3 linked regions of the Tamandua tetradactyla genome follow. The protein of the gene in region 1 purifies or fractionates together with the protein of each later gene. This does not show direct contact. Links are inferred from orthologs where the notes say so. Each region holds a gene or a part of one and is shown in the gene's direction. Other genes may lie near its edges.

The links. Proteins that work in one complex are often made in the same cells at the same time.
Region 2: the proteins of MPHOSPH6 (region 1) and EXOSC2 purify together in Homo sapiens (affinity purification with mass spectrometry; 8 studies listed by BioGRID and IntAct, with this or other methods). This does not show direct contact. The link is inferred for Tamandua tetradactyla from reciprocal best matches to the Homo sapiens genes MPHOSPH6 and EXOSC2.
Region 3: the proteins of MPHOSPH6 (region 1) and EXOSC1 purify together in Homo sapiens (affinity purification with mass spectrometry; 5 studies listed by BioGRID and IntAct, counting the BioPlex papers as one, with this or other methods). This does not show direct contact. The link is inferred for Tamandua tetradactyla from reciprocal best matches to the Homo sapiens genes MPHOSPH6 and EXOSC1.

The regions. Positions count from the first base shown.
Region 1 is NC_135342.1:76,859,572-76,867,649, reverse strand, and holds the start of MPHOSPH6 (M-phase phosphoprotein 6), read left to right. Parts: upstream 1-4,874; 5' UTR 4,875-4,922; coding exon 4,923-4,973; intron 4,974-5,803; exon of another isoform or gene 5,804-6,301; intron 6,302-8,078. Other genes in the region: uncharacterized protein LOC143659822, read right to left, coding at 4,539-4,874. UniProt on the Homo sapiens protein: RNA-binding protein that associates with the RNA exosome complex. Involved in the 3'-processing of the 7S pre-RNA to the mature 5.8S rRNA and play a role in recruiting the RNA exosome complex to pre-rRNA; this function may include C1D.
Region 2 is NC_135328.1:53,593,055-53,600,888, forward strand, and holds the start of EXOSC2 (exosome complex component RRP4), read left to right. Parts: upstream 1-4,714; 5' UTR 4,715-4,764; coding exon 4,765-4,886; intron 4,887-6,218; coding exon 6,219-6,320; intron 6,321-7,834. UniProt on the Homo sapiens protein: Non-catalytic component of the RNA exosome complex which has 3'->5' exoribonuclease activity and participates in a multitude of cellular RNA processing and degradation events.
Region 3 is NC_135339.1:58,766,384-58,774,216, reverse strand, and holds the start of EXOSC1 (exosome complex component CSL4), read left to right. Parts: upstream 1-4,713; 5' UTR 4,714-4,831; coding exon 4,832-4,910; exon of another isoform or gene 4,911-5,015; coding exon 5,016-5,131; exon of another isoform or gene 5,132-5,974; intron 5,975-6,790; coding exon 6,791-6,865; intron 6,866-7,833. Other genes in the region: palmitoyltransferase ZDHHC16, read right to left, coding at 293-381, 529-723, 918-1,160. UniProt on the Homo sapiens protein: Non-catalytic component of the RNA exosome complex which has 3'->5' exoribonuclease activity and participates in a multitude of cellular RNA processing and degradation events.

The DNA.
Region 1 (8,078 bases):
GTCAGGGCCAGGCTCATCCCTAGGAGTTATCTCCCATCCAACAGGCTGGTCTTGAAAAGACAAAAAAGGGCCATAGCACAGGCACAAGCACTAGGGGATGTAGACCCAGACCTGCCCTATGAATTCGACATAGCCAGCACTGATATTGGCCTTGGGTGGGGTCTGTGGCAGAGGTAACATTCTAAATGAATACCCCTTGGCTTCTGGTCACAATTATGGAAAGAAACAGAACTGAGAAATAGCCCCCTGGAAAAGGAATTGTATGTTGCATAGATTGCCTTATTGTAAGTAGAGGGACTGACACAAAGATATACAGTCACCTTGAAAATGGCCGTCCCCATTCAGGGATGGATAACCGACATGGCTTCTAAGGCATTCTCTGGAAATGCCCAACTGAGCATACTAACCAAATGGAAAGCCTACCTGCTACAGAGTAGCATTTTTACTATGAGTCCTCTGAGTAGTACAAGAAATGTACAGAATTCTCAGACCAGTGTCCTATATAGAAGATTCAACAGCTAAAGTCATGGCACCTGAAATAGCTGTTGAAATGTCCACTACAGAAGGCACCGGTACCATTCCTGAGTCATTGTACCAAACAGGCACACTGATTGGTACACTGATATACTTGTGGACAGTCTCCCACATGGACAATAAGGGCAGTATAACCCAGTATTGACATTAAATAGTGGGAGACTGACACTATGCAGAGCAGTCAATGAGCTGAGTTAAGAACAGTATGGATGGTAATGTAGTGCATGAATCATGCGCTGGTTGAAACTGTTATGTACCCCAGAGAAGCCATGCTCTTCTAATCCAATCTTGTGGGGGCAGAGCTATTGTTGGGTTGGACCTTTTGATTAGGTTGTTTCCTTGGAGATGTGACCCAACCAATTGTAGGTAGGTCCTTTTGATTGGGTTGTTCCCATAGAGATGTGACACAATCAACTGTGGACTGGACTTTTGATGAGGGAGATGTGACCTTACCTATTCAAGGTCTCCAGTAATTAGTTTACTGGAGTCCTTAAAAGAGCTCACCAAGAGAGGTTCAGAGCCAAAATAGAGAGCAGAGGCCAAGACACAGTTGTCTGAAGATGCAGAAGGAGGATGCCCCAGGGGATGCTAGAAGGACCTACAGGACCTGAGGGAGTCATTTGAAACCAGAAGCTGGGAAAAAAGGACAACAGACATCACTACATGCCTTCCCATGTGACAGAGAAACCATGGACGCCATAGGCCTTTCTTCAGAGTCAAGTTATCTTTCTCTGGATGCCTTGGTTTGGATATCTTAAAGGCCTTAGAACTATAAATTGTAACTTAATAAATCCCCTTCATAAAAGCCAATCTACTTCTGGTATATTACATTCTGGCAGCTTTAGCAAACTGAAAGATTTTGGCAAAGAAGTTGGGTGCCAGGAGACATGTTAACTATCTGTACCAACAGCTGGGCTGTTTATAAAGGCCTTACGATCTGGATGGCAACCTGGAAGCAAGACCAATAGACAGTCATAGGTCACCCCTCTGGAGACAAGAATTGTGGAAAGACATCTGGGATGCCTGCCAACAATAAAAGCCAATTACAGCTGCCAATCACATGCCAACAGCTAGTGGACATCACCAGAGAATGCCCACGATGCTCCCTGTGTCAACCAAATAGTTTATCACATCAAATGGGGCACATCAGCCAGTCACAAATCCTGATGATCCTGTGGCAAGTGGATTACATCAATCCCCTTCCACTCTCAGAGAGGGTGAGGTATGCCTTTACCACCATGGACATGACCATAGGACTGTTGATAACTTTCCTGATAGGGAAGGCAAACTAGCAGGCCACTGTCTGATGTTTGGAGAAAGTGAGCACTCTGTATGGTGTGTCTACACAGACAGTGATCAAGTTACCCCTTTCCCTGGACAAACAGCCCCATCTTGGGCCATGGATCAGGACATCATGTGGATGTCCATCTGCCCTACAATCCCACAGGTGCAAGCCTTATTAAAAGAATGAATGTTTCGTTAAAGGAACAGCTAAAAGATGATAAGAAGTCCTTGTAGCAGTGGACTAAAAGGTTCTATAAGGCTTCAACTCACTTGAATGCAATGTAGTGGGTTATCGTACCTGCCCCCATAGAAATGCTAATGGTAGGACACATGCAGGCCCCAAGAATACAAATTAAAGGGCCAGCCATTTTGCAGCTGAAAAGGGGAAATGACAATAATATGTTGTTGCCTGTGCCTCAGACCATACAGACAGGGAAAACAAGATACTTTGGCCTTAGTGCTGGTCTATGCAGCTGCACTGGTTGAGAATCCTAAATCCACATACTGTGGAACAGGAGTCACTGAAAATATTGTAACCTGACCATCATTTATACTAAAAAAAAAAAAAAAAAAATTGCCTGTTAAAATTTTTATCACCAATCTGGGGCCTCCTAGTCCCACGGAAGCTTTACCCATGACTATATGGATCCTTCTTATACGCAGATTAGCAATTAATGTAATGGTAGAGGACTCTCAAGATTTGGAGAGAACAAATATGTGGTATTTAAAACCTCCCCATAGTGTCCTTCTGCCTGGTACCTAATTATCCACCAATGGAACTCTTAGCACATATATTATTACATCAGCAGAAAATACCCCTTATCGTTCCCCATAAACACTTTTCTTTTTATCCATAGTGCCCTAGCAAACGCCTTTCTACAATGGCTTCAGCCGTAACTTATGCCCACAATCAAACCCAATGTTGGGTTTGCACAGATTTGCAATCTTCAGGAGCTACTAGCCTTCCTTGGACTGTGATCCCTGAGAACTGAACTGTGTGAAATACCCTGCTGGCCTGGCAAAATTCAATGCACAGGAAAATCTGGAAGAAAATCTTCTCACTTAAGACTGAAATCCAATTATTGTCCTATGATGAGACTAGGAGTTGCACCTTCTCCCTTGTATGGGAACAGATGAACAAGCCGCAGCCTGTATTGGAGTATGCTGTATTTGGTGGTTTAGGGTGGCTGCCAGCAGAACCTGTAACAGACCATGTTGCCCTGTCTGTATGTAACAACTTGATGGAATTCATAACAAGGGGTGGGTATTGTGTGATTTTACTGTTAAACTACAAAACAATAGTCTTTTTCACTGGCAATATATCACCAACAAACATGCCAGTCTTCCCACTGACAAGATATCTCTAAGCAACATCATCCTTCCCCTAAGAGATGGCTATGGACCGGTGGGCAATATAGTTGGCCCTATTTACTTTGTAAATACATGGGACAGGCCAATGTCCCCGCTACCTTATATGACCTTTTACCCCATACGCCTAGTAATTTGGAAATGGTTAAAGCTAGATATAGAATAAAATGCACTCCCTAGTGGTATTATCCTTTAGCCATTCTTGTACCAAGTGGAGCTGCAATTGTTACTGAAAAAGCACGTGACACCTTTAACAGATCACACTGCCCAAGCACTTAATGATTCCAAAATAGCTATCGCCTTGCTAAATGAAGAAACCACACAACTTAGAAAAGTAGTTTTACAAAATAGAAGGGCCTGAGATATTCTCACTGTAGCACAAGGCGGCACCCGTGCCTTAATTAACGTGCAATGTTGCACATGTATTTCGGATCATTCACACAATATTTCACAAGTTCGGAATCATATGCAAGAGCATAATATTGCTCAATTATCAGTAGACCCCCTGTCTAAATGGTTTACTTCCTTTTCTTGGCCATGGCAGCATCTCTTTGTGGGGTTATCTCTGTATGGGGGACACCTATTCTGTGTCTGTTACACTTTTGCTGTGGAACATGGATGCAATATCTGTGCTGTGGTCAACCTGGTTTGCTGAGTGGGAATGGATTGCGGAGACACAGGGCCCTGCCCCACCTCTTCCATATTGAGAATCAGTGACTACAGGGAGCAGCCTACAATGACCCAGACAGAAGTAAGAGGTCATTAAACCTCCCGGGGAGGTGGTGCAGGGGAGTATAGATGATATCATAAACAAAGGATTAAAACTCCCCTTCCTTGACCACTACTGATGATAAGACTCCAGACCCCTGTGTCACAACCCTGCCGAACTCTGGTCTCAAGCCCTATAGAATGTCTCTGTTTTAAACCCTTATAAGCTGACCCCTTGCACTCCAGGCCCCTTAGGGAGCACAGACTTTCACTTTCCAGACGGCCACCGTGTGGACAGATCTCCTGTTAGTAAATCCCAATAAACCCAAGCCTAACTCTCTGCCAAGGGTGGTCTCTGGTCTTTGGGTTGTGCTGGATTGGGACAGGACATCCTTCTTAGATAACAAAGAGATCACTTAAGCACAAAGACGCAGTTAATAGGTGAATGTAACATGGTTTTTCACCGATTTGTAGCTTGGTGGTTAAGAGTCCTGCTGAACCAGACTGCCTGGATTTACAGGCCCCCTCCTTCATTCTTAATTTGGGCTCATTAAGGAAGTGCCCTATATTTTACACAACTGCAACAAGGCGAGGATGAGAGAACCGCCACGCGGGGCTACTGTGAATACGAACTGAATTATTACGTAAGAAGCCGCGATCCAGATGAGAAGGCAGGTCTGGCAACAATCGCAAATGCTCACTGGAATGCCTGAAGCGGGGCCCCCGAGAGGCACACACTCCACGCGCGCCTGGGGGACCAGGGACGGGAAGCTGGCGGAGAAGGTGGCCATCAGCTCTCGGTCTACTCTGATCTGGGGTCTCTCTACGGGCGCTAAGTCCACTAGAACTCCGCGTCGGCAGCCCACAGCAGCCTCGTCAGCTCCCTCGGGCGCCAAGCCCAGCTGAGGCAGCGGGCCGGGGCCACGGGGCAGGCGATCTAGCGTCACGTATGACGCCACGACGCACGCAGCAGCACGCATGCGCGGCAGGGCTGAAGGCTGGAACGCGGCGCCGGATGGGAGGTTGGCATGGCGGCCGAGCAGAAGAGCAAGTTGTCCAAGAATCTGCTGCGCATGAAGGTGCGGTGGCACGGGCCGGGCTGGGCCGGGCGGGGCGGTGGGGCAGCCGGTCTTCCGGGCCAGGCTGGGGCCGAAGCGGCGGGCGCACAGGGGCACCAGAGAGGGCCCGGAGGGCCTCCAACTTTCGCGTTCATTCTTTCATTTTGAGCCGTCTCCGTATTAGGCATACCGGGTTATGAACTAGGAGCGGGGACACGTACACGAGTGGTTAGAATACAGCGTGCCGGGAGCACTCGTGGTGGAGCGCGGAGCTCTGGGACCTCACCTGGACTCAGCTTCAAAGAAAGCATCTCGCGGAAACTAGCCCTTAGGCTGAGGCTGAAGGATAAGTTGTGGCAGGGGCCATATGGGGAACATAGGAGCGTCAGCTGAGTGAAGGGCGTGTTACAGTCTAAAAAGCTGTTAAAAGAAAAAAAAAAAATAAAACAAGCATGGAGATTTTCAAGAACTGAAAACAATTTAGTATGACTGGAAAGAAAGTAGCAGGAAATGAGGTTGGAAAAGTAGACAGTGGTCACAGGGTGCAGGGCATTTGGGGCCAAACGAAGGATTGTTACCTTTATCTTAAGAGCAGCGAAAAGCTGTCGAGCACCAGGGTCAGTCATTTGCTGTGCATTGTACTTTTATTTACTTTAATGTTAGTTTTGACTCTTCAGTGGAGAATGCTTTGGTGGAAGGAAGGCCGTATCATGAACAAAATTGAAGTCAGTAAGCCAGTTAGAAGTTCTGATGATCCCAGTGAGGGTAGATGATGCCCTGAGTAAGGTGCGAATGGAGAGAACTATTATAGTTGAGGTGCAAGTGAATTGTTATCTCACCGAATTTTAAGAAAAATTGTTTTTGTATTTGAGATTGGAAGCAGTTTAACTCTATAGTTTCGAAGTGAAGAGGAGGTGAGGGGAGACAAGGGTAAATATAATGTATATAGGAATTAAGACAAGGAAAACAGCCAAATCGTAAAACAAAAACTTGTTCTGGGTATTTTGCATGTAGTAACCCATTTAATCCCTGTAATAACTCTGAGTTAACTATGGTTATTATCTTTTTTTTTCAGCTGAAGCAATTGAAACAGAAGTAGCTTGCCAAATACACAGGCTAAGAAGTAGTGCAGACAGGACTCTTAACACAGACAAATTTCGTTCTAGAACCCCACTTCATAATGACTACACTGCCTATTGGTGAACACTACTTATAGAGATATGCAAACTGTTAAATGTTTAGAGGGTCTGGTGGAATTTCTAGCAAAAGGAAAATAAGAAATAAGTAATGTTTAAAAGATCAGAGAGTAAGCATTGTGTGTACAAGATTCAAATGGAGCTGGAGTGAGGGTATGACTAGGGGAGGATGCAACTAGGGATGAATAGGGTGGGTGAGGGTAGAGGGTAAATTGTAGAATTATTTTGTTCTGATGTACTGCTTTCAGGCATATTAGCAAAATTTGAAATTTTAGTGAGTAGAATTTTCTTCTTGTTTAATGGTTTGTAATCATGTAGACTTCAGAGAAGTGACATGCATCCACAGCAGGGGATTGAAAAGATTTTAGCTGTTATTTTCCCTCTTGTAATAAGCCAAATGGATATGTGCTGAGTGATTTTAGGTTCCAGACAGAAAAGCTGATTCTGGAACTAGGAAGGAAGAAATTAACTTTAAAAAACAATTGCCAAAAAAAAAAAAATGCCCACCCTCACCCTAATGATTGGGGTTGGAGACTTAGCTGAATGTTGGAAGCAAATGTGAAACAAAAAAAGAAGAAGGAGAATGAATAAAATGTTCTCAGTTTGGGTTAGCAAGTTCAGTTTATGGTCCGAAGGAATTTACAGGATTAGCAGGAAGGAATTTACAGGATTAGCAGGAGACACTAAACACATGGGAGTGGAATGTCCTGTGAGAATGAATGGAGCAGCTATAGACTTAGGCTACTATATACAGTATAGTTCAGCCAGTGCCAAGTACAGAACAGGAATAAGAGAATTGAAGTTTTAATCCTTGTTTGAACAACAAACAGTGCTTGAAAACTCTAACTCTGTCAGCTATTGCGAGGTGAGGAGAGAGCCTGTTGGGAAGTTGAAAATGAAGGATGTTGTTGGAAGGTCTGTCAGTATGATGATTTGGTTGTAGAGAGGGCTTTTACTTTGTGATTTTAACTGTTTTGCCCTTAAGAATCTACAAACTTCATAGGGGTTGGCCCTTGAAGTACAGCTTGCAGGTTGTACTATCTTTCCTGCAACTACTCAGTTCTGCCATTGTACTGAGAACCATAAGCACATGGCTATATTCCAGTAATGCTTTATTTACAAAAACTGGTGGCTATAGTTTGTGACCCCTGCTGTAGGTCATCTCTAACTTTCAGAGTGTGTTCTCAGATGCTGTAGAGTAGGAAGAATTAAATTGTAACCAAAGTCTGGAGTTTCTTGATTTGTATTTAAGAGTGCTCTATCCTTTCCATATTTTTGAAAGAGAATGAGAAATCCTGTATATTATACCATAAAGAATGCCTACTGACTAAAAACAGAAGATAAAGTGGCAGTTGGCCAGGATTGGTGCATTTCACTGCCTGAAATAAGAGTGATGAAATAATGCTAAAGAAGCATCCAAGAAAAGGAGACTCGTAAAATAAGACAAATCTAGACTGAATAAGAGAAATGGTCTGCTATTCAGAGTCTCAGTCTTTTGGAAAACACAAAAGAATCCTGATGAATGGTATATGAAAATCAGGGAAAGATGCTTGGTCCTAGCAAAAGGACATTTGCTCTGTACCTTGAAGAGTGAATATTTTGCTGCCTATAAATGGCAGCATGATGTTGAATAGCAAAGGTGAAAGGATTTGGAAATAGAAAGTATGCATTCCTGAAGCTGCAAGTTCTTTCAGAGTATGGTATCTTTGGGCTGCAAAACAATTTAAGTAGTTTGCAAACTTTTTTTATAACTTTTTATTTTAAAATAATAATAGATTCACTGGAAGTTGGGAAAAAAATATGCAGGGAGGTCCCATTTAGTCTTCACCCATACCTCCAATGGTAACTCCTGCTATTAGAGTGTCATCAAAACCAAAAAATTGACCTTGGTACATACAATCCAGAGAGTCATTCACATTTCACCAGTTTT
Region 2 (7,834 bases), on another chromosome or scaffold:
GGTCAGGAATTTGGACAGGGTACAGAGGAGATGCTTTTTTTTTTCCATGATTTTTTGGACCTGGGATGATTTGACAACTGGAGGAGAATTGACAGCTGGTGGTTGGAACCATCTGGAAGCATCTTCACTCATCTGTCTGGCAGTTGGCGCTGACTATTGTCTGAGGCCTTTTCTGGGGCTGTTGACCAGAGCACTTACATAGATCTTTTCTGTATGGCTTCTCACATCATGGCTGCCTCAGGGCAGTCAGACATCTTTGGCAGGGCTCCACAGGCAAGTGTTCCAAGAGAACCAGGTAGAAGTTGCGTAGTCTATCTGACCTAGCTTTGGAAGTCATATAGTGTCACTTCTGACAGGCGCTACCAGTCAAAGCAGTCACAAAACTGCCCAGATGCAGAAGCAGGAGGCATTGATCCAAATTCTTTTTTTTTTTTTTTTAACATTTTTATTATAAAATAAATATACGCAAAGCAAAGAAAGAAAAAGCAACAATTTTCAAAGCACAGTTCAACAAGTAGTTATAGAACAGATCCCAAGGTTTGTCATGGGCTATCATTACACCATCTCAGATTTTCCTTCTAGCTGCTCCAAAACACTGGAGACTAGAAGGAATATTAATACAGTGATTCAACAGTCATAGTCATTTGTTAAATCCTATTTTCTCTGTTATACCTTTTCCTTCTCCTCTGATCTTTCTCCAAATCTATAGTAGTCTTTGGGCAATACCCGTTCTGACTTTTTCATGTTGAGAAGGAGTGTTGACACTAAAGAATAGGGGAACGTAATTAACTGATAATCTTGCAGAAGCTGGTCCCTCTGGATTTCAGGATTTATCTGATTTAGGAACCTTCCAGGAATTATAGGTTCCAGGAAAGCAAACTTCGCACATGAAACCTTTATAGAGTATCAATTTGAGCCCTGGGTGTTCTTAAGAGTCAATAGGAGTGATGGTGGTTGGGGTTTAGCAAACCATGGCAATTAGCAATAGATCCAAATTCTTGACTGAAGAGATGTCTACAAACTCATGGGCATGTTTAACAACCTCCATAAACAATATGGCTGTTTCTATTGTTTTTAGGAGAAGCAATACTGCAGTGAGCCTTTTTGTGCAGAAATCTTTGTGCATATATCTGATTAGAACATTTGTCCTGTTACTGTTATCATTTTAATGGAACACGAGGAGGAAGCCAGTGGGTGGATAAGGATTGTGGCAAGAGCTCTTGCAACAGTCTCCGCTGCCTCTATTTTCACGTTTCCCCATTCGTTTCCTTCACTTGAAGTTCACATGTCTTCTCACCCAGCTTGTCAGGCTCAGCAGTTCCCTCATGTCAAGGCTCACTCACTCTGTCAGGAAGGCTTTTCTGTTCCTTCGCTCCCACCCTCATCTCTGAACTCCTGAGCATGTGGAGAGCTGGGGCAGCAATGATACATCTCTGTAAACCCCACCGTGCCGGGTGCCATGCTTGCTGCACAGTGGGTGCTTGGCAGGTGTTTGCTGAATAAGTTCATTTGTTCATTCAACAAATATTTATTGAGGGTCTTCTTTGTGTCAAGTATATAGTTCTTGGGGCTGAGGATACAGCGATGAACAAAGCAGACAAAGTCTGGGCATTTGTGGAGCTCACATCCTGTTTGTGTGTCGGGGGCGGTGCACAGATGATAAGCAAACAAACAGGGAAATGTATATTTTGTAAATGTATCATTTTTATCAACAAATATTTTATGGGTGCCTTCTGTTTGCCTGACATGGTTCCAAGTGTTCATATAAGTTGTCCAAAACAGATAAAGTCTTGTTCTTAGAGCACGTGTGCTCTAGGGGAGGCCCTCACAGCAAACAACCAAAGAAATAAACAGGAAAACTCAACGACCAAGAAATAAAACAGCTCAAATGATTAAAAAAGAAAGGACCAGAGGGCTATTCCAGATAAAGTGGTCAGGGAAGGCTTCTTTGAGGGGGTGCTGTTTGAGCTGAGATCTGATTGAGGAGAAGGAGCCAACCACACAAAGACCTGGGAGAAGAGGAGAATTCTGTGCAGAGAGTTAAAAATGTACTGATACTGGGGTGTGTGGAATAGAGAGGAGGCCCAGTGCAGCCAGCTTCATCGTAGCCAGTAAAGGGAGTGGATTAGATGGCGAGTGAGATCCAAGCCAGGCAGGAGCCAGGTCCTACAGAGCCTCAGTGCTCCCCAGTGATGAATCTGAATTTTATTTTTAGTCTACAAGGAAGCTGCCAGAAGTGTTTCAGCCTGGAAATGATTTAATCAGATCTCTGTTTTAAAAAGATCACTCTGGCTACTGTATGGAGAACGGACCATAGGGGAGGTGAGGCCAGGTAAATATAGAATTAGGGAGGCAACTGAGGGGGTTATTACAGTCACTCAAGTGAGAGGTAATATCGATTAGTCTGGGGCTGTGGCCGTGAAGCTGCACAGATGGGGAGGTAGATGGACATTGGGGGAAATTGGCGAATGTTAAATCTGATCAACTATAAATCACTCAGGGAGTTAAAATACACCCTCACAAGGGGTACACGGATAGTTCAGTGTCAGAATGCCCACCTTTCATGCGGGAGAACCGGGTTCGATTCCTAGACCATGCACCCCAAAATACAAACAAACAAAAAATCTTTGCAAAAAAACCACCCTCACAGACTTGTGGACCCTACCCTTGAAGAGCCTCGATGCCTGAATCTGGGTCCAGGAATCTGTATCTTTATCACATCCCTCAGGGGTGTGCAACAAAGTTTCTGGGTACTCATCTCTCTACATGGTAGGAAAGAAGCAAGTATAAAACACCTAGCAAAGGACCAGGCCATTGGGAAGTGTTTGATAAATGCAAGCTCTACCTCAGTGGCCTGCCACCATTTGCTGTGCGAATTCTAGTCATTTCAGTTTCCTCACCAATAAAAAAGGTATCCATAATTCCAATGTTGTGACAAGCTTGACCAACTGCAAATACTGTGAGAATGGGAGGGGTTTAGGGTATGTCCTTCCTTCCTGGAATGAAACAGGATGATGTAAGTACTTTAACTCACTCCTTGGTTGCCAGCATTGTGGAGGGATGGGAGGGCTTGTCTCCTCACTGCCTGGGCTGTGCTGGCTCACAGGGCACCACTGCCACCATATGGCCATGGTGAGACTCAACAGATGGGTCATTTTTATTTTTATTAACACTTTTTATTTATTTATTTATATCAGAATTTATTCAGGTATAATCTAATTACTTTTATTTTTTATTTTTTTAAATTTTTATTGATAAAACAACGTACAAGCACATGAATTCTTAATGTACAAACATTTCATACATGGTGTACAATCAGTGGCTCACAATATCATCACATAGTTGTATATTCATCACCATGATCATTTTTAGAACATTTGCATCACTCCAGAAAAAGAAATAAAAAGAAAAAAGAAAACTCATACACATCATACCCCTTACCCTTCCATCTCATTGACCACTAGTATTTCCATCTACCCATTTTATTTTTTAATTTTGACATTTGTTCCCCCTATTATATATTTTTAATGCATATATTTTACTTATACCAGATGGGTTATTTTTGCACTCTCTTCCTCTCTAGTGCCTTCCTCAAGGCAGAGAGAAGGGTGAGGGTCAGGTCTGCCTACTTGCCAGATGACCAGTGGATCACTCAAATTTGTATCAGGTTGCCTCACAGGCCTGGCTTTCTTTACAAGTGTAGTTCTGAGCATTGCTTGGGTGAAAGAAGTGCTATCCTTTCAGCGATTTATAAAACAATTGGTCTGACTGATCTTTAGGAGGCAGCCGGCCTGATTTACTGAGCACAACTGTGTATGTATGAAAAATTGTCATCTCCAGTTCCCTAAGGATGAGACTGTTTGCTGTAAATGCTATAAACCATCCAGGGCAAGTCAGGGACAGGGAAGTGAAACCCAGGAGAAGACACCAGGGAGAGGCTCCTACAGGACCTGGAGGTAAAGCCACAAACACCTCGGTTCTCACTCAATCCTTAGAACAGTTGGGCACACAGTGCTCGATTTGCTGTATGAAAAAATGCAAGTGATTTTCTTTTTGTACTGTGTGTGCATTTGTTCTCCTTGCCAGATATGCCTGCCTTGCAAAGTTTTCTTGGATAGCTTTTTTCTTTTTCAAAATCATCTCCTCTCACTCAAAATAAATTATTATGAAAGGACAGAACCAGCATGGACCTGGAGCTCTGTTTCCGGATATAGAAGACGGTCGGTATTGAACCAGCATGCATCCGGCGGTGGTGATGCAGAATACTGGAGTTAGTAGGAAAGGTGTGAAAAGGGGCTCTTCTTTCTATGTAAAGAAATGTTTTCTGTTGATCCCACCTTCCCATCCTCCTGATTTCGCTCGCTTGTACACTCTCCCTCTCTTTCACTCGCACACTGAGACACATAAAGGCTTAGAGTTGAAAGGAAACTCAGAGGTCCATTTTTCCAAATACTTCCAATCCTCGTAAGCAATAAATAGGATGATGAGTATGAGACAGTTTTGGTAAAATGTCAGGCGTCACGCAAAGTGAGATTTTTATACTGTCATTTCACGGGGGGAAGCCTTGACAATATAACAAATACGACAACTTGGCTGCGGCTTTCCCCTAAAGTTAACCCAGCGGCTGCCAATAGCCAACATGGCCGCCCGCCCGCGGGATCCCATTGGTGGATGCCCCGAGGCCCCGCCCCGCGCTGTTCCTCCGCCCCTGGAGCTAGGGAACTGCGGCGCCGGATATCGCGGCTTCTGGTACTTGGCGCCAATATGGCGCTGGAAATGAGGCTTCCTGTTCCTCGTAAACCTCTTAGCGAGAATCTGGGCCGCGAGACTAAGAAACACCTGGTGGTGCCGGGGGACACGATCACTACGGACACGGGCTTCATGCGGTAAGTGGGGACGCGGGGGCCTTGGGCCCCAGCAAGCAGCTCCAGGGCTCTCTGCACGTGGCCTGATGGGCCGAAACCTGGGCCTCTGTCCGGTGCGTCTAAGTCTCCCGGAACCCAGGGCACAACTTCAGCGCATCCCATTCGCCAGTTTTCCAAGGCCTCTGGCTTGGGATCCCCTGCATCTTTTGTGTCCCCTTCGGCACCTGTCTCAGACTCCCGAAACCCTCCTCTCCTGACTTCTGGTACCCGTGACGCCCGTGTCCTCTGCCTGAGGCCAGGTCTCTGAGCTTTCTTCGTTGGAGTCCTGAAAAACCGAGGAGGGTTAGGAGCAGGGGCCTCTTTCCGGTTTTCAGCTGTTTGAGGGAACAGGGGGCTTTCCTGATTTGGCCTCTTTCTCACTTAGGTTCATCTCGGGGCCAGAGGTTCAGTTTTGGAGTCAGTAATTGTTTGGGCTTAGAGCAAACAAAATACACGAACTTTGAGTCTAAGGGCAGTTTAATGGGTTCTAGTTAAGGAGCAGATTCCCGAGGCAGTTCGGGTTCCAGTCCTCTCCCTATTCTTAGCGGAAAGATCAGTTTACTTTTCTGTAAAATAGTAACAACAGTAACTATCTGATGGGGTAGTGAGGATCCAATGATATAATGTAAAGAAAGGAGTCAGAAACCACCATTATCCCACCACTACCACAGATAATATAAACCTTTTAGTGATGCTTCAGCCATTTAAAAATTTGGTACACATGTGCTATTACATACGTGAGAACTACGGCTTTTACAGCATTGTCCTTTAACCTTTTAGTGTGATGTTTTAGGATCCTAGGAAATCTAAAGATTCATTCCTTCATTCATGCATTCAGCATATATTATGTGTGGTTTGTATACAACAGTGAACAAAATGAAAACCTCTGTCCTGGTGGAGTTTATATTCTAACAGGGAGAGTCAGATAATAAACAATAAGCAAAACAAAGAAATTGTGCAGAATGTTTGGTGATCATTTCAGGGGAAAAAATAAAAAGTTGAGCAGAGTAAGTGGAATGGGATTGGGAGTCTGGTGAGGGTGGTGGGATCAGGATGGTTTGCAATTTTAAATGGGACACATAAGGTAGGCCTGATGAGGAAAGTGACATTTGAGCAAACTTGAAGAAGATGAGGGAGATGTCCGTGTAGCTGTCTGGAGGAGGAATATTCCAGGTTCCCGGCTGGGAGAGCAGCCAGTGCAAAAGCCAGGCTTTAATGTGGGAGGAGCCTTTTTGGTTTGAAGAACACGTTTTTGAGGGGAGAGGTCGTCTCAGATGTTACCCTGGTATCCTATATATCTGTGTCTTGCCACAGGGGTCATGGAACTTATATGGGGGAAGAGAAGCTCATAGCATCTGTGGCTGGTTCTGTAGAGAGAGTTAACAAGTTGATCTGTGTGAAAGCTTTGAAAACCAGGTGAGAACAAAAGGTGTGTATTCTCTTTCTTACTGCATCCATGTTGCATGACCAGATTTCCCCCCTCTACCTGCCCCCATCTGTCCGATCATTCTGGGGGATCTGAAGCTTTCCACATGACTATAGGAATGGTGGTAAAGGTAAATGTGGGCTGCAAAGGTTTCCCCACATTACTTAACTTCTCCAAGCTTTGGTTACTTCCTCTGCAAGATGAGGAGAATAGTATCATCTACCTTGTACAAATTTCATCAGAATCTAGTGAAATGATGCACTTAGCCCTGTGCTAAGTGCCTAGAAGGGCTCGGTAAATGTTGGTCCTAGAAGGATGTCAGTGGGGTTAGAATAGAGTGAGCAGAGGGGGAGAGAAAGAACAGATACAGACACAGAGCTGAGGTGGGTGGATAATCTGGCCTGCCTTGAAGGCCTTTGTGAGCATTTTGGCTTCTACTTTGTGAAATCTGGGAAGCCACTGGAGAGAATGAAGCAGAAGAAGGACACAATCTGTGGTTGGTTTTTTTTTTAATTTTTTAACTGTTTTAGTAAAATCACTGACTGCTGTGGGAATCGGGGCAGACATAGGGAAATGGATTAGAGGACTGCTTTGCAGTCCAAAGTGCTGATACAGTGGAAGTAGGGGTATTTGATTCTGCATATATTTTGGAGGTAGAGCTGGCAGGATTTACTGCTGGGCTACTCATGCAATTTGAGAATTAGGGAATAATCAAGGCTGACTCTCCAAATTTTAGCCTGAGCACCTGGGGGATGGAGTTGCCATTTACTGAACTGGGGACAGCTGGGAGAGGTGCACGTTTCTGGGAGTGGAAGGGAGTGGCATGAAGCTTATTTTTGGGCTTGTTACATTGGGAGTGCCTATTCATAATCTAAATGGGGTTGTTGGGTAGGTAGCCGTTAAATAGTTTGGGCTTGTTACATTTGGGAGTGCCTATTCATAATCTAAATGGGGTTGTTGGTTAGGTAGCAGTTAAATAGAACCTGGAGTTCAGGGTAATGATACAGTTATCAATGGTGTCTAAAGCCATTAGATTGAGTGGACACACTGAGAGATGAGTGGTTAACTGAAAAGAGATGAGGTCCAAGTCTGAGCTTTCAGTACTGGAACACTTCATAGTTAGAATTAAAGCGATGAAGTACTTGCAAAGGGACCTGAGATGGAGCAGCCAGTAGCTTCCCTCCCAGGGGGAGACAGCGAGGAGACCTATTTGGGGGGCATTCTGTCTCAGAATCTCATTTCTCCTCTTTTGACTGGTACTAAACCCATCTTTGTTCCAGAGCCCACAGGAAAATTTTCTGTGTTTTTTATTGTCATGTAATCTAACAGAATAGGGATTTCAGGCTGAATGAACTATTTGCAGAAAGTGATTTAAGAATAATTAACAAGATTTTATATATATAGGAGTTTGAAATTATCAATTCCTGAAAGTAAGTCTGAACGGCATAGTTATGTGAATTTGCTAAATGTGATGCCTAATTAAGGCCTTGTCCTTATTTGAAAT
Region 3 (7,833 bases), on another chromosome or scaffold:
TTGAAGGCAGCCAGGCCTTGCTTCAAACCCAACTCTGCCATTTATTGGCTGTGTGATATTGGGTAAGGTAATTAATTTCTCTAAGTCTTAGTTTCCCTACATGGCAGCAATGCCTAACTCAGGGAATGCCTAACTCCTAAGGAATATGTGCTATGAGATAATAGAATGCAGAGAGCCTGGTCATGACATGTGCTTCGTAAGTGTCTTAATAAATTCCAGGTCTAGGTTTTGCTCTGGAACTAAAGCTGAAGGGCCACAGTGATGGTCCCCATGGGGTAAAGCCAACACCCACCTATTGCAGATGCTGCAGTGGTGTGTTCGGGCTGGCTTGGAGTAAATGCACTTTTTACAGATGGAGACAGCTGCGATATCATTCCTACCCTGGGCAAAGGAAGAAAAGCATCATGAAGCTGTGGCAACAACAACTTTACACCTTGCAAGATACCAAAGTACTTTCCCTCCCCACTTCTAGGACTGGTTCCCATAGTCTGCAAGTCCCCCTCCCCCCATGCCCTTATGGGAACTGACCTGGGGTGGGTATCCAGGTGGAGTGGTGATGGCCTGGTAGTAATGGAAGACAATCAGCACCAGATTCCAGTGACTATAGAAGAAATGCCAGCAGAGTCGTGGCACTGAGTAGGTTTGGAGAATGAGGGGAAGGACACATAGGTAGGCGATGGCCACAATGGAACTGGTCAATATGATCACCAGCACCACGAACACCTGCCAATACCAAGGAAGTCTGAAGATGTGGGTCAGGTAGAACCAGTAAAGGAGCCTTGCCAACACCCAGCAGAGACTCAGGAATATCCTGAAGGGTAGGGAGCTGGCTTCCAAAACCTAGTGGAGGTCCATCAGAGACATATCCCTTTCCTATCCCAAAACATCCCTTTTCCTGCTCCCTGGGCATCACTCACCACCCCAAACCAGCGGATCACGTTGTCCACCAGCCAGTAGATGGGCTCAAAGGCAGCATCGATAGCAGTGTCGCTGCCCCCAAAGGAGTTGTAGAGCAGGGAGCGCAGGCAGACCTTGCCATAGCGCCAGCGCTGCACCAGACCCCGCAACAGAGGTGGGCAGCGGCGCCTATAGCCCAGGAGCAGAAGCAGGCGCAAGCAGAGACGGGCTGGGCCTAGCAGCAGGCTCCTCTGGCTCCGCATGACTTCTAGGAAAACACACTATTGTGAGTATCAAGTCTGGTTCCTCTCCTTCCCTATCCTTGCCAGTGGGGAATCCAGAGTACCAGTTTAAGAGGGCAAAGACCTAATATCGAGCCCAGCTAGGCCAGTGACCAGGTGAATGTACAATGCCAATGTCCCCAACAGATTACATGAAATAGGAACTGGAGGTTATGAGTCTAGAAATTCCATTTACATTCCACCACTTGGGTGCACAGAAATCCAAGGTAATGAACATCTAGGGTAAAGGACCACAGCAAAGGGGTGAAGGACAGGTAGGCAGCTCCAAGGTAAAGCAGGATCCTTGGAATGATCTATGTAGACAGACCAGTGGGTGGAGTGTGTACAAAAATATCCATGTGTTTCTGTGGGCCTGGCCATTATAACAGGCAGCCCAGGGTCTAACAGGCTAACCTGACTCATCAACCTACCTGCTAAAGGTTGTTCTTCACCAAGGAACAGCAAGCTCCTCTAAGTCGGGGAGTGAGCACATGGCAAAGGGATCCTACACCTAGATCTTCCCTGATGCCGTGGGTCCTGACAAAGGTACTCCTTCCCATTCCCTCAGGCCAGCCAACTCAGCCTAACAGCATGAGATTCTCTGTCTGCCTGTCACTTCAGCTCAGCCATCCCTTGCATGATATAAGATGCCTTGTCTTCAATTCTAGTCCCAGAACCACTACAAGGATACAGAAGGGAAGACAACTTCAGGTATTTAGGGCAGAATAGCACTAGAGGCAGGAAACACTGGTACTTAGAAGGGGCCCCCATGTTGGCAGCTCAGGACAATCACAGAGCCTGCCCTCTGAGTGATAAGTCTCCTCTGCCTTGTTCAAGTTGGACACAAAAGCCTTCTCTATAGCTGCTGCCCTTGGCTTCAAACTTGTCCCCAGCCTTCCCAGCTCTTTAGCACTTTCCACAGCTGCTCTACAAGTGCTTTCCATCTCCTTTACGTTGTTTCTAACTCATTCAACAGCAATGGAAAAAGGGTTGGCTGCCCAGCCGATCCCCAGAATAGAACACAGTGCTCTGGCAGGTTCTTAAAATGACAGTCTCATCAATTCTGCAGATTAGAAGTTCTTTACCAGAAAAGAAACTTTCTCCTAGGGTGGCCTTGGAAGGCTGCTTTGTTTGTCCTTAGCAACTGCACTGACTTATTTAACAGGCAGCTAAAAACCCAGCAGAAATTGGAGGAGGCTGCTCCACTCTAGGGATGGTTTCAATTCAGTAACTGGAGCACTATATTTTCCTTGAACCCTGGCTCATCCCCACAAAAGGTCCTTCAAAGAGAACATTTCATTACCTCTATCCACAAGCCCTGCAACTACCTAAGGCAAAAAACAAAAACAAACAAAAAAACCTCAACAAACTAGGCCTACGGAGCAAGTGAAGAAAGACATTTGAATAGGGACCCACACTGCACCAGGATAAAGAAACTGGCCATTCCCATTACCTCCTAGGAAGCTAAGAGTATTAAGGCATGTGGGATGGCATATAGAAAAGAGAAAAAGGAAAAGCTCAACTTTCCTACCTTCATTCAGTTGAACTACCATTGTTTGGAACCATGATTTCGCTTAAAGAATGAATTTTCAAAATAACAGCCACAATCAAATACAACAGTGAGAGTAAACAGACTACCCCACAACAATTTCTGGTGACTTTTGGATTGTCCACACCATTGTTTATTCCCTAACTATGGCTAATGGAGAGTTTTCTATTTGCTAAAATACTTTTTATAGCAGTAGCTTGCAAATCAGATTCATTCTTTACCGGGTTCACCTCTGCCCCTAAGCATCACTTGTGACCTTGGGCAAATCACTGATCCTTGCTGGGACTCAATGTCCTTCTGTTCGCACACAACGAGAAAGTAGGACTAAATGCTAAAGTCCCTTCCATATCTAACCTAGTCTGGATATATATATGGTAAGGTATAAATGAAATGAAAGTGGTTAGCACAATACCTATCTCATGGAAGTGCTCAATAAATACTTGGTGAATGAATGAATGACCTAGAACACCTGGTTATGGGATACAGAAGTAGAAAGGCTGATCACATGCCTATCTGACCTACAAATACCAGCAAAGACACTCCTACCAACGTGACAACATTGAGTGTCTGCCACTATCATTCTTTCTGATCAAAGACAGAAACAGAAACCGTTATTAGAATCATAGTACTTAAGACCTAGAAGGCATTTTTAAAAATAAGTCCAACTGAAATAAACTCAAATATGTAAATAGAAAGTTTGTAGATGCATAGCTACAGATCAGGTTTGGGTAAATAAGGTCTGAAGCTAGCCCCCTACCCCCTTACTTTAGCTAGTAGGATATAGAGGGGATGGGGATGACATGGAAGAGAGATGCAGTTCATGGGACATAACTGAACATACGGCATTTTCATCTCAGGAAATTGAGGTAAGGGGGCACTCAAAAGCTGGGGTAAGGGGTGGTGATCTCCGAGTGAATGTGGGAAAAGAAAGAGAACACTGTCGTTTCACTATCACCTCCAAGCACAAAGCCCTGAACACTCTGATCCCTCGGTAGTAGCCACAGGCTATAGTGGGATTTGCCATCCGATTAGAGGGGACTGCAGGCCACTCATCACTCCGGGTTTCTTTTTCTAAGGCTCTAAGTCACCATTTACGTGGGGGAGAGGGGTAGGGGTGGGAGATAAGAAGAAACAGATTGCAACACCACAAGGAGGCAAAGGAAACTGAGATGAAAGTCGTGGCAAACCTCTTCTGGACAAATACTGCTCTCATGAGGACTGCGATCTCAAGCAGCACATAGTGAGCATCAGTAAAACAGCATTTTATTCATGTACAAGATTTCCTTTACGGGCTAACACGATGCAAAGAGGGAAAAGTAGCAACTTTATCATGGGGATGCTCATCAAAAGCTAAGGACGGACTCAAATGACTACAGCTCCTCTTGAGGGAATCCTACTGCAGGATCTGAAGCTGCAGTTTCACAAACAGGGAAAAGGTTTTACTTCTCAAAGAGGGCTCGTGGTCAAAGCCCGATGAACTGGAAGTAAATCAAAACAAAGCAAAACAAAAACGTGGGTTCCAGTTTGAACTCTACCTTGAACTATCTTCGAGACTGCACAAATCAAATCCTTTTCCGGATTAGTTTCCAAATCCGTGAAATGGGTGCGTTGGATTGGTCAAGGACCTGGTCCTGTTCCGCCCGGAATGGCCTGCACACAGAGCGTGGCGAAAGAGCACGAACCCGGGCTTACGTAGATGGAGAACTATCCCGGGATAGGGCCCGACCCTAGAAAAAGGACTGAAGTAGGGAGCAAGGACTGCGGCTTTGCTCTTACCTGCCAGCTGCCCAATCAGCGAAATCGAGTCCTGCAGCTTTCGCCACCACTTACTACCACACCCTCCAGCTCGGCACCCCGGCCGAGCCCGGCTCAGCACGACCCACCATGGCCCGCCACGCGCAGAGCCAGCCAGAGGACCCAGACCCACCGCCAGCCCATCCTGAACCACAAGCGCAAGCGCAAAATCCCGGGAGTTTCGGCCCTACTTGTCCCGGGGCAGGCTGGGAAATGGAGTTAACCCTCGAGGAGTCGCTTCCAGAGAGCGCCCGATGAAGCTCTCCAATTGACGCGCTTGTTACTGCGGCACTGCACCTCGGCCAGTCCAATGAGGAGTTGGCCTCATTTTCATCCGGGCTTTCGGAAGGGGTTAGTCATGGCGCCGCCCGTGAGGTACTGCGTCCCTGGTAAGCGAGCAGTGCCCGCAAAGTCCTGAATGGGGACAGAGGCAAGGATGCTGGACGGCCAGCACATTTGGGGGCCCCGAAATTGATGCAGTGTTTTATCTGCAGGCGAACGGCTGTGCAATTTGGAGGAAGGAAGCCCGGGCAGCGGCACCTACACCCGTCACGGCTACATTTTCTCCTCCCTTGCCGGCTGCATGACGAAGAGCAGCGAAAACGGCGCGGTAAAGGCTCCGCTTCCCATCTCTTCTGTCTCCTTCTTTTCCTTGGGCTTCTCTTGATTTTCATGCGCTTAGGCAGGGGCGCTGCGAACACCTGTTTAGTGCCTGGCCAGTAAAACGTTTGAGAGTTAGTCTCTGATTTTCTTCCATCTGTAATCCCCGCTGCTTCATTTCCCTCCACTCTTCACCTCGCCGCAATCCAGACACACCAGCTTCTTTCATTGTCGCTAATGCGCTGTACTCTTAACTTGCCACAGAGCCTTCTTACATTCGCATCTGTCTGGAACACTCTCCTCTACCTCTTGGTCTACTTAATATCTGCTTATCCTTCAGATAGCATCACTTTCTCATAAAAACCCTCCCGATCCAATAGTTGAGGAAAGGCGTTTTTGGTGTTTGTTTTTTGTTTGTGTTGCTAAACATTCTCAGAGAACTTTACTTCCAAGCATTCATCTCAGCGATTAATTAAACACTCACTTATGTGTTTCCCATTAGACTCTTAAGTTCCATGAAAGCAGGCCTCATTGTTGTACACTCAGCACCTAGCACACGATAGACGCTCATTAAATATTTATTGAGTGAGTAATACTGTCCTCCCTAGTTCCAGAGACTGATCCAGGATTAGCAGTCTTTGAAGGAACAACTTAAAGGCAGGTGCCACGGTAGAAAGAATTCAGAATTAGAACACTTAACTAGACTTTGATTCCGCCTTGAGTAAGAAACTTAAACTCACTGGCTTTAGGTTCTTTCTTATCTGTAAAATGAGAAATTTTTTATTCATTTTCAATTGGGAGGCTGTTCTTAACGTTCCTAAGTTCATTCTGTAGATGTCTGTTGAACGTTTTCATATTCCAGGTGCTGTGCTGACCTCTGATGATGTAATAATGAACTAAATACACATGGTCTCTGCTGGCAAGGGGTAGAGAAACAAATCATAAAGAACTAAATGCACAAATGAACATTACGTGGCACCGTGAGAACATGTAACAGGAAAGCCACCCTAGTCAGCAGAAGCGACATTTAAGCTGAAGAATAAGGGTTGGGTAGGTGGGGAGAGTGCATTCCTGGCAGAAGGAGCAGGTTAAATAGAGATCCTGAGATGGGAGGAAATTCAGTGAGTTGGGAAAATTAAAAGAAGGTCAGGAGAGCTGAAGCATAGTTGGCAAAGAAGAGAATGATTAAAGATGAGGCTCAAAAATATCTATCTTACAGCAACAGCCAATACCAGGCTCAAAGAAAAAATTCTATAAGTAATTTCTTAACATAGAAGAAAACAAGTATGGCTACTATTAGAAAACATTGTTTTGGAAATTTAGCCTTGTGCAATAAACTACATTAAGACTTGGTATAACTTTGGAAAAACGAGGCAAGTTATCAGCAATTGTAGGCAATATGGTTGTAGAACTAAATTTCAAGAATATCACCAAAACATATTAAAACTTCTCTGAAATAGTTAAATTATGTCTTCTGGCATTATTCTTCCCATGGCCTCTTGGTCCTCCTGTTATTTCTCAGATACTCTGCTATGGGCTAAAAAAAAATCCATAGTTCATTTGCCCTTTTAACCTCTCTGGACCAAGGCATTTCTTTATTACTTTAAGCCATGAATACTTTTATCCAAGGCTTAGTCGGTATACCGTTTTTTAATTGCTCTTTTTGTAGCTTCCTGTGGTGTCTGTGGTGAGAGAGACAGAGTCTCAATTACTGCCAGATGTGGGGGCTGTTGTAACCTGTAAGGTAAGTTGGTCTTTATCTCCTTGTTTATGATACCTGTCCAGTGCTGAAATCATGATCATTCTAGATCTGTGCTGACTGATATGGTAGCCATTAGCTATATATGGGTATTTAAGTTTAAATAAATTAAAATTAAATAAAATTTAAAATTTTGTTCCTCAGTTGCACAAGCCACATGAACTAGTGGCTGCTATATTGGTCAGTACGGAACATTTCTGTCATCACAGAATGTTTTATTGAATTTTTTGCTATCTACAGGGTTCTAGGATAATGACCAAGATAGCCAGTTTCAAGCATTTGTAGTTATTTCATTGTGCCAGTTCCCTGAGCATGTAGTACCTGTGTCGGGGAAACAGGAGTGCCATAGGTATAGGGAGGCCTATTTTTGAACATCTGAAAGTGAGACCTTTTTCTGCAGAGAAACAAAGGGCTAGTCTATTTTCTAGCATGTCTGTAAATTTAAAGTCTTTTAGGGTATTTCAGAAGTACAAATTAATGCTGTACATGTAATATTCTATGCCCATCCCCATACTCTGCCAGGGAAAATTAACTTGTACCTTTTAGTTCTTCTCTTTATCAGTTGCTCCAGCAGCAAATTTAAATGTTGCTCTGAAAATAACTGGAGAAACAGTGATTAAAATATCATGCAGTGGGTGCATGGTTGGTTCAGTGGTAGAATGCTCACCTTTCATGTGGGAGACCTGGGTTCAAATCCTGTACCATGTACCCAAAATATATATGTATATATATCACACAGCTTACCTAATTTAACTTGTATGGTCAGTTTATTTGAACACCATAACTACATGGACTCTTGAATAGGGCATGAGATCTTGTTGGTTTGTACAGGTTAATGGAATGCCTCGTTATATTCCAGAGTAATTTGGGCAGAAAATAAAAAAGTATTTGCAAAATCTTCTTGCAGGGGCTGGGGAAAAAGAAGGAAATATTCAACTTCCCCATCTGGAGAA